Linked DNA regions of Sus scrofa. Each later gene encodes a partner of the first gene's protein in a complex. Links are inferred from orthologs where the notes say so. Each region holds a gene or a part of one and is shown on either strand. Other genes may lie near its edges.

Region 1 (4,503 bases):
CTGATTCAACCCCTAGCCTGGGAACTTCCATATGCTGGTGGTATGGCCCTAAAAAGAAACAAACATAAAACATAATCCCAACGTTGTGATAGGCTCCATAAACCTAAGTGCCCTGAGAATGGGAGGGGTTAAGGTTAAGTCCATCCCTCCTTGAAACTGGATGTTGTCAAGACTATACCCTAGTTTTTGGTATAGATGCACTCCCAGGTCCAGCTGCCTAGTGGACTGAGCTCTGCTGGCTCAAAGGACAACACTGCCCTCTTCTGGCAGAGGCCAGGCTCAGCAGATGAACCCTTAAACTTTCTTGGCTCTAGTCCATTCCTCCAGGCAAGGAAGAGGGCAAGTATCTGGCCTGCCCCTTTACTGATGACCTGTGGGGCCCTAGAATTTATTTCATTGACTGCCTCCCAGGGTTGGCTTTCTTGACAGATGTAGTTGTGAGCCATGCTTAGGTGAAAAAAATGCTGTCCTTTTGGAGGTGTATTTATCTATTGGTCTGATGGACTTTCAGAGGCAGCAGACCTGATTTACCAAGCTTAGCGTGTGGTACTGATGTGAGTTATTTCCCTTAATCCTCTTTAGAGTCCCTTGTATGAAGAATTATCATCTCCAGTTCCCTGAGGTCGAACTCTCTTGTGGATGCTTTAAACCATGCAAGGCAAGGGTGAGGGAGGGGCTGGTGGGAAGTGGGGAGAGGGATGGGGAAAATGCTTCTGACCCAGAGATAAAACCACATATCCACCTATCAGTTCACCACTGAACCCTCAGAACAGCTCCTGGTTCAATTCGCTGCATGAGTAAATATAAGCAAAGATTCTCGTATTAAATAGGCACTTGTCCTTCCTTCCAAATACACCCACCTGCCAAGGTCCGAATGTTTTCTTAGATGGTTTCTCGAATTTTCAAAAGAAATATTAGGGTTAATTAGCTCACTTAGGCAGAACGGAATCAGCACCTGAAGCATTGTTTGGGGGTACAGGTGGTGGTTATTCCTGAAGCAGCAGACACGAGGCGGAAGTAATGCAGAATACAGAGGCTACTAGTAACGGTTCCCAAAGGGGCTCAGATAGTGTTTTCTGTAGATCCCATTGCCTGAGCAATCTCATACCTCCCTCACCCAAAAATCAGATTTTAGCAGCTTAGAGGTGGGAGGAAACGCAAAGGTCCATTTCTCAATTATCTCTAACCCTGGAAAACAGTAAGTGGCATGATGATTACAAGAGGGTTTTGGCAAAAAGTCAAATGCCAGACAACCTGAGATTGTACCATTCGACAAGTGCAGCCTCGCCAATAGTAAAGATGGCAACTCGGCTCCTTCCTTCCCTTCGCATTTACCTAATGGTTGCCAATAGCCAACATGGCCGCGAGTCCGTGAGTTTCCATTGGTGGCTGCTCTGAGGCCCCGCCCCGCGAGCGAAGGCAGAGAGTTGCTGAGAAGGACGGTAAGCCTTCGGGTTGGGCTGCGCCTGCGCAAGTTATTGGCGCCAAGATGGCGATGGAGATGAGGCTTCCTGTCGCTCGCAAGCCTCTTAGCGAGAGCCTGGGGCGCGAGACTAAGAAGCACCTGGTGGTGCCGGGGGACACGATCACCACGGACACAGGCTTCATGCGGTACGTGGGGTCGTGGGGGACTCTGGGCTATAGGAGCGGCCGCACTGCTCTGCACGTGGCTTGCTGGCCGAAACCTGGGCCCTCCGTTCTCTTTCCCCTACGCCCTCGCGGTACCCAGGGCACATCTGCCGACCATCCTAGTCGCCTCGTTTTCGAAGCCTCGGGCTTATTGCTCCCTGCCTTGTGTGTGTCCCCGTCTGCTTTGCCCCAGCCCGCCGACACCCTCCTCTCCTGATCTCCGTGACTCTTCATCGCTCTGCCTGAGACCCAAATTCTGGGCCTTCCTCGTTGGGAAAACTGGGGAGGGCTAGGGGCCGGGGCCTCTTAACAGTTTTCGACTGAGAGGGACGGTGGGCGTTTTTGACATGTGCGCCTTCTCCCTCAGCATCATCTCTTAGCCAGGTGCATGGTTTTGGAACTAGTCATGGTTTGGGTTTAGAGCATGCAGGTATGTTGAGTTACATGCACCCAAATGTACAGCTTTGAATCTGAGGGCAGGCTCTTGAGTTGGACAGCTGGGGTTCCTGACCTCTCCCACGTCAGTTTCCTCATCCCTAAAATAGTGATATTAACTATTTAACAGGGTAGTGAGGATTAAATGAGGTGACGATTAAGGAAAGAAGCAAAACTCACCATTGTATCACTGTCATAGATTAACACTCGTGGATGCTCAGCCTGTTTCCCCCTTTGGGGAAAAGTGCTTGTACAAATAGGAGAGGTACAGCATTGATACATTCGTTGCCCTTTAGCCTCTTAGTTTGGGGTTATTGGATCCCAGGAAATCTTACGAGTCAGTCCTTCATTTGCTCATTGTGTATGTACATCATGTGTGGTTAGGGCACAGCACTGAACAGAGGGGAAATCTCTGTCCTGGTGGAGTTTACGTTCTCACTGGAAGAGACATAATAAGCGATAAGCACAGCAAACGCATAAGTGATTCAGAATATTTGGTGGTAAATGCAGTAGAGAAAATAAACAGTCGAGCAAGGTAAGCAGCATAGGTGGGATCGTGGCAGCAGCAGGGTGGGCGACATGAGAAACGGGATGGTGACGAGGGACAGGTGGAGAAAGTGACCTTTGGGAAGACTTGAGTCAGACAAGGAAGTGGTCCATGTATCCCTATTAAAGAAGGAATGTTTTAGGAAGCATGGCACAAAAATCTGGCTTTCAGGCAGGAGGAGGCTGTTAAGTTTGAGGAACACATTGTTTTTTGTTTGTTTGTTTTTTAAACTTTATTATTTTTTTATTTTATTTATTTATTTACTTATTTTGCTATTTCTTTGGGCTGTTCCTGCGGCACATGGAGATTCCCAGGCTAGGGGTCGAATCGGAGCTGTAGCCACCAGCCTACGCCAGAGCCACAGCAACGCAGGATCTGAGCCGCGTCTGCAACCTACACCACAGCTCACGGCAACGCTGGGTCTTTAACCCACTGAGCAAGGGCAGGGACGGAACCCACAACCTCATGGTTCCTAGTCGGATTCGTCAACCACGGGAACTCCTGTTCTTTGTTTTTAGGGCCGCACCCGAGGCTTTTGGAAGTTCCCAGGCTAGAGGCTGAATTGGAGCTACAGCTGCCGGCCTACGCCGCAGCAATGCCAGATCTGAGCTGTGTGTGCGACCTACACCACAGCTCACAGCAACGCCAGGTCTTTAACCCACTGATTGAGGCCAGGGATTGAACCCTGTCCTTTGTGTCTTCCTGTTGCCACAGGGGCCATGGGACCTATATGGGGGAAGAGAAGCTCATCGCGTCTGTGGCTGGCTCGGTGGAGAGAGTAAACAAGCTGATCTGTGTAAAAGCTTTGAAAACCAGGTGAGAACAAAAGGTGTGTATTGTGGCGTCAGAATTGCACAGCCAGGTCCTTTCTGCCACAGCATACCCCCTCCGTCCCCCATCCCTGCCTGCCCCATCATTCTGTAGGTCTGTGATTTGGAGCACGTGACTGAAGGAGGGGGATGGGTGACCACAGGTAGGTTTGGGCTTCAGAGGTTTCCCTACGTTACCTGACCTCCCCAAGCTTTGGTTTCCTCCTCTGCAAAATGAGACGTAGCATGACCTACCTTGTAGGATTTGCCCTGGAATGCACTGGAACAGTGCATGCAAAGTACTCACACAGAGCCTCCTACTCACACAGAGCCTCCTAGAAGGGCTCAGTTAAGGTAGCCCAGGAATATAAGCTAGTGGGGCTGGAACAGAGGGAGCAGGCGGGGTGGGGGATGGCAGGAGTGGTAGGAGCCTGCGGCCTGTGAAAATTCCCCAGGGCTGGGATTGAACCTGCACCACAGCGGCGACCTGAGCTGCTGCAGTGACAATGCCAGATCCTTAACCTACTGCGCCACCAGGGAACTCAACACGGTAAGCATTTTTGACTTGTACTTTGTGAAATCTAGGAAGCCACTGGAGGAGGTAGGGCAGAGGAGGGATCTGGTCTGACTTCTGTTTAGATGAAATCACTCTGGCTGCTGTGGGAGGACGGGGCAGGGGTAGGGCACTGCTGACCTAGACTAAGGTGATGGCAGTAGGAGTGGGCAGAAGTGGCCACGGTGGCATGTATTTTGTGCTCTGAGTGTTTTCATCATGAGAAAGTGTTGGATTTTGTATTCTTGGGATTTTCTGTACTAGAAGACCATGTCTGTGAGAAAAGAAAAGATAGTTTTATTTCTTCCTTTCCAATTTGGCTGCCTTTTATTTTCTGCCTGTATTTTAAAGGTAGAGGCGGTAGGCTCCATTGCTGGACTTGTTCTGCAACATGAGAGAAAGAGAGATTGAGACTGAGAAATATGAAGGGTTCCTTCAGGGATTCTGGCTTGAGCAGGTGGAGTTGCTATTTCCTGAGATGGTGACAACCAGGAGCGGATCCGTTTGCTGTGGGGGAGGGAGGGGGGCTG
Region 2 (3,173 bases), on another chromosome or scaffold:
CATTTGATTCCCACAGTAACTGTTAGGTGTAGAGTGGCTCTTGTTTCATTTTTTGTAATCACTTATCCAGGGATAAATAAATAGCAGTTAATTTGTCTTAACTTCTGTACTTAGGAGTTCCCATCATGGTGGTGCAGAAACATCCAACTAGGAACCATGAGGTTGCGGGTTCCATCCCTGGCCTCACTCAGGGGGTTAAAGATCCGGCATTGCCATGAGCTGTGATGTAGGTTGCAGACACGGCTCAGATCTGACATTGCTGTGGCTATAGTGTAGGCCTGCAGCTTCAGATCAGATTGGACCCCTAGCCTGGGACCCTCCATATGCTGCCACTGTGGCCCTAAAAAGGCAAAAAACAAAACAAAACAAAAAATTCTACACTTAGTAGAGTTGCCTTGGACTAAAATCCTGGTAATTCCTAGTTTATCATGCCTCCTTGAGCTGGCAGCTACTAATACTGGAATGCCTAATGCTGCAATTTTCTCTATTCCAGGTCTCTAGCATCAATTCACGCTTTGCCAAAGTACACATTCTGTATGTGGGGTCCACACCACTTAAGAACTCTTTTCGAGGAACTATCCGGTAAGAAGTATTTTTGTCTTCATATTAGCTGCAGTACTTGGAATGAGATTAAGATAGAATGGGAGACCGGAATTTTTAAGAACAATTAGAATCCTTATTCATGCCTACTTCTCTCGTCTCTGTGCATTGGTTCTCCCCAAGTAGTATCCAGAGAAAATGTTGTATGTGTTAGGACAAAAAGGAAATATTAACGAGATAGTATTTAAATAAAACAAAAAGAGGAGTTCCCGTTGTGGCTCAAGGGTAATGAACCTGACTAATATCCATGAGGATGCAGGTTTGATCCCTGGCCTTGCTCAGTGGGTTAAGGATCCAGCATTACCATGAGCTGTGGTATAGGTCGCAGATTCGCCTCAGATCTGGTGTTGCTGTGGCTGTGGTGTAGGCTGGCAGCTGCAGCTCCAATTCAACCCCCAACCTACGAATTTCCATATGCCATAGGTGTGGCTCTAAAAAGAAAGAAAAACAAAAAATAGAAACATAAAAAAGAGGAGTTTTGCTGTAGCACAGCAGGTTAAGGATCCCAAGTTGTCACTGCTACAGCTTGGGTTTGATCCCTGACCCCAGGAACTTCCACAGGCCAAGGGCTTGGCGAAAAATAAATTAGTTAAAAATATAAAATGAATAGAGCTAAGCTGGGGATTAGCCTTGTGGGGATGATTCCTATCAAAGTAGAAAAAATTTTAGGAAGTACCTTTTTTTCTTCAATTTAATATAGATTAAACCCAAGGATTATAAGACAATAAAAAGGTTAATGAATGCAATGCTATATTTTGTTTTCCTATGAGTTCTTTGAGACGGGACTAACAGTTCCTGGGAGCTAGATAATTTAACATCCAAGGCTCTTTCCACCCTTGGGTTCTGTGTGGTTTTGTGGTGCTTTGGTTCAAGCTCTCCTAAGGCAACAAAGTTCCTTAGCCCTTTCTGCCAAAGTTGATTCGCTTTGCTGTAGCTGCACTATATGGTCCAAGAATGGGAAATGTGGTTTTCTCCGGGTGAGGACTGAGGATACCTCGATCTCCTCCTCTGGGTGGCAGCTGGGTCCCAGTTAGATTTGGTCTCTCTGCTCTTATAGCTAGAAGTTGCAGGATAATTCTTTCTTGCAAGTAATTAATCTTTCTTTTAATTTTTTTTTTAATAGGAAAGAAGATGTCCGAGCTACTGAAAAAGACAAGGTTGTTGGTTGATTCTTCCCCCCACCCCCCCAGGCATTAAGAATTTCAGTTTCTTTTAAGTTATTACAATGGGTTTCAAAATCTGTGGGAACGTAGAGTCCAGGGAATTTTATTTTATTTATTTATTTATTTTGTCTTTTTGCCATTTCTTAGGCCGCTCCCACAGCATATAGAGGTTCCCAGGCTAAGGGTCTAATCGGAGCTGTAGCCTCATGCCTACGCCAGAGCCACAGCAACACGGGATCCGAGCCGCGTCTACGACCTCCACCACAGCTCACGGCAATGCCAGATCCTTAACCCACTGAGCAAGGCCAGGGATCGAACCCGCATCCTCATGGTTCCTAGTCAGATTTGTTAACCACTAAGCCACGACGCCAACTCCGAGTCCAAGGAATTTCAAGGTGTTCCCTATTGGAAAGTGGAATTCACCTTACTGTCCCTTTCCTCTTCATGTTTTTTTTTTTTTTTTTTTTTTTCACTTCGTTGACCAGAAGGGCTCTGGCTTACTCTTTGCCTTAAGCCAGGTCTTTATTCACTGCTCAGACTTAACCCTGGACCCTGTCAGAGCAACTGTAGTACCTTGTGTCCAGGTCAGATTCCTGATCAGGTTACTGAGTTCAAAATCTTTATGTGATGATGCCACAGAAGCACTCAAATTTGTTGATTGACTCAAACCCTTGGGGATTGGAAAGAAAGTGGCTCTGCCAGAGGGGTTGGTTGACAGTGTCATGTAGACCTGACTGGGAGCTTTCCCTTAACGCTCCGGTTCTTTTTTTCACAGGTTGAAATTTATAAGAGTTTCCGCCCAGGGGACATCGTATTGGCCAAAGTCGTATCCTTTATTTTCTGCAGATTTCTGGTCTTTTGTCAAAAGAAGAAATGGAAGTAGGGAAACCACTCAGGTGGCTCTGGGAGGGCAGACTTATAGAAGCCTTTATTCTCCTTTACCAGTGTGACGTGACTAGATCTCTCTAGGTGACGCGCAGTCCCACTACCTCCTGACGACTGCCGAAAACGAGCTGGGAGTGGTGGTAGCCCACAGTGAATCAGGTGAGTTTGTCCACACCTCCACGTGCTTCCCTTTCCCTGGGAGCTAGGCTTTGGGGTTCATCCGTTGTTTTCCCTTGTTTCCCTTGTTTTTTAATTATCTGGGACATAATGTGAGTGTAGGGACTTACTACTGAGATCAGAATTATTCCTCCTCTGGAGTCTCCGGGGGTGGTACAGCGGAAATGAATCCGACTAGGAACCATGAGGTTACAGGTTCAATCCCTGGCCTCGCTCAGTGGGCTAAAGATCTGGCGTTGCCATGCTCTGTGGTGTAGGTCGCAAATGTGGCTCGGATCTGGCGTTGATGTGGCTGTGGTGTAGGCCAGCAGCTGTAGCTCCAATTGGACCCCTACCCTGGGAACCTCC

The links.
Region 2: EXOSC2 (region 1) and EXOSC1 share a complex: the UniProt entries of both Homo sapiens proteins name them as parts of the RNA exosome core complex. The link is inferred for Sus scrofa from reciprocal best matches to the Homo sapiens genes EXOSC2 and EXOSC1.

What each region holds. Positions count from the first base shown.
Region 1 is NC_010443.5:270,747,075-270,751,577, forward strand, and holds the start of EXOSC2 (exosome complex component RRP4), read left to right. Parts: upstream 1-1,459; 5' UTR 1,460-1,489; coding exon 1,490-1,611; intron 1,612-3,325; coding exon 3,326-3,427; intron 3,428-4,503. UniProt on the Homo sapiens protein: Non-catalytic component of the RNA exosome complex which has 3'->5' exoribonuclease activity and participates in a multitude of cellular RNA processing and degradation events.
Region 2 is NC_010456.5:108,836,853-108,840,025, reverse strand, and holds part of EXOSC1 (exosome complex component CSL4), read left to right. Parts: intron 1-493; coding exon 494-582; intron 583-1,723; coding exon 1,724-1,757; intron 1,758-2,538; coding exon 2,539-2,589; intron 2,590-2,722; coding exon 2,723-2,807; intron 2,808-3,173. UniProt on the Homo sapiens protein: Non-catalytic component of the RNA exosome complex which has 3'->5' exoribonuclease activity and participates in a multitude of cellular RNA processing and degradation events.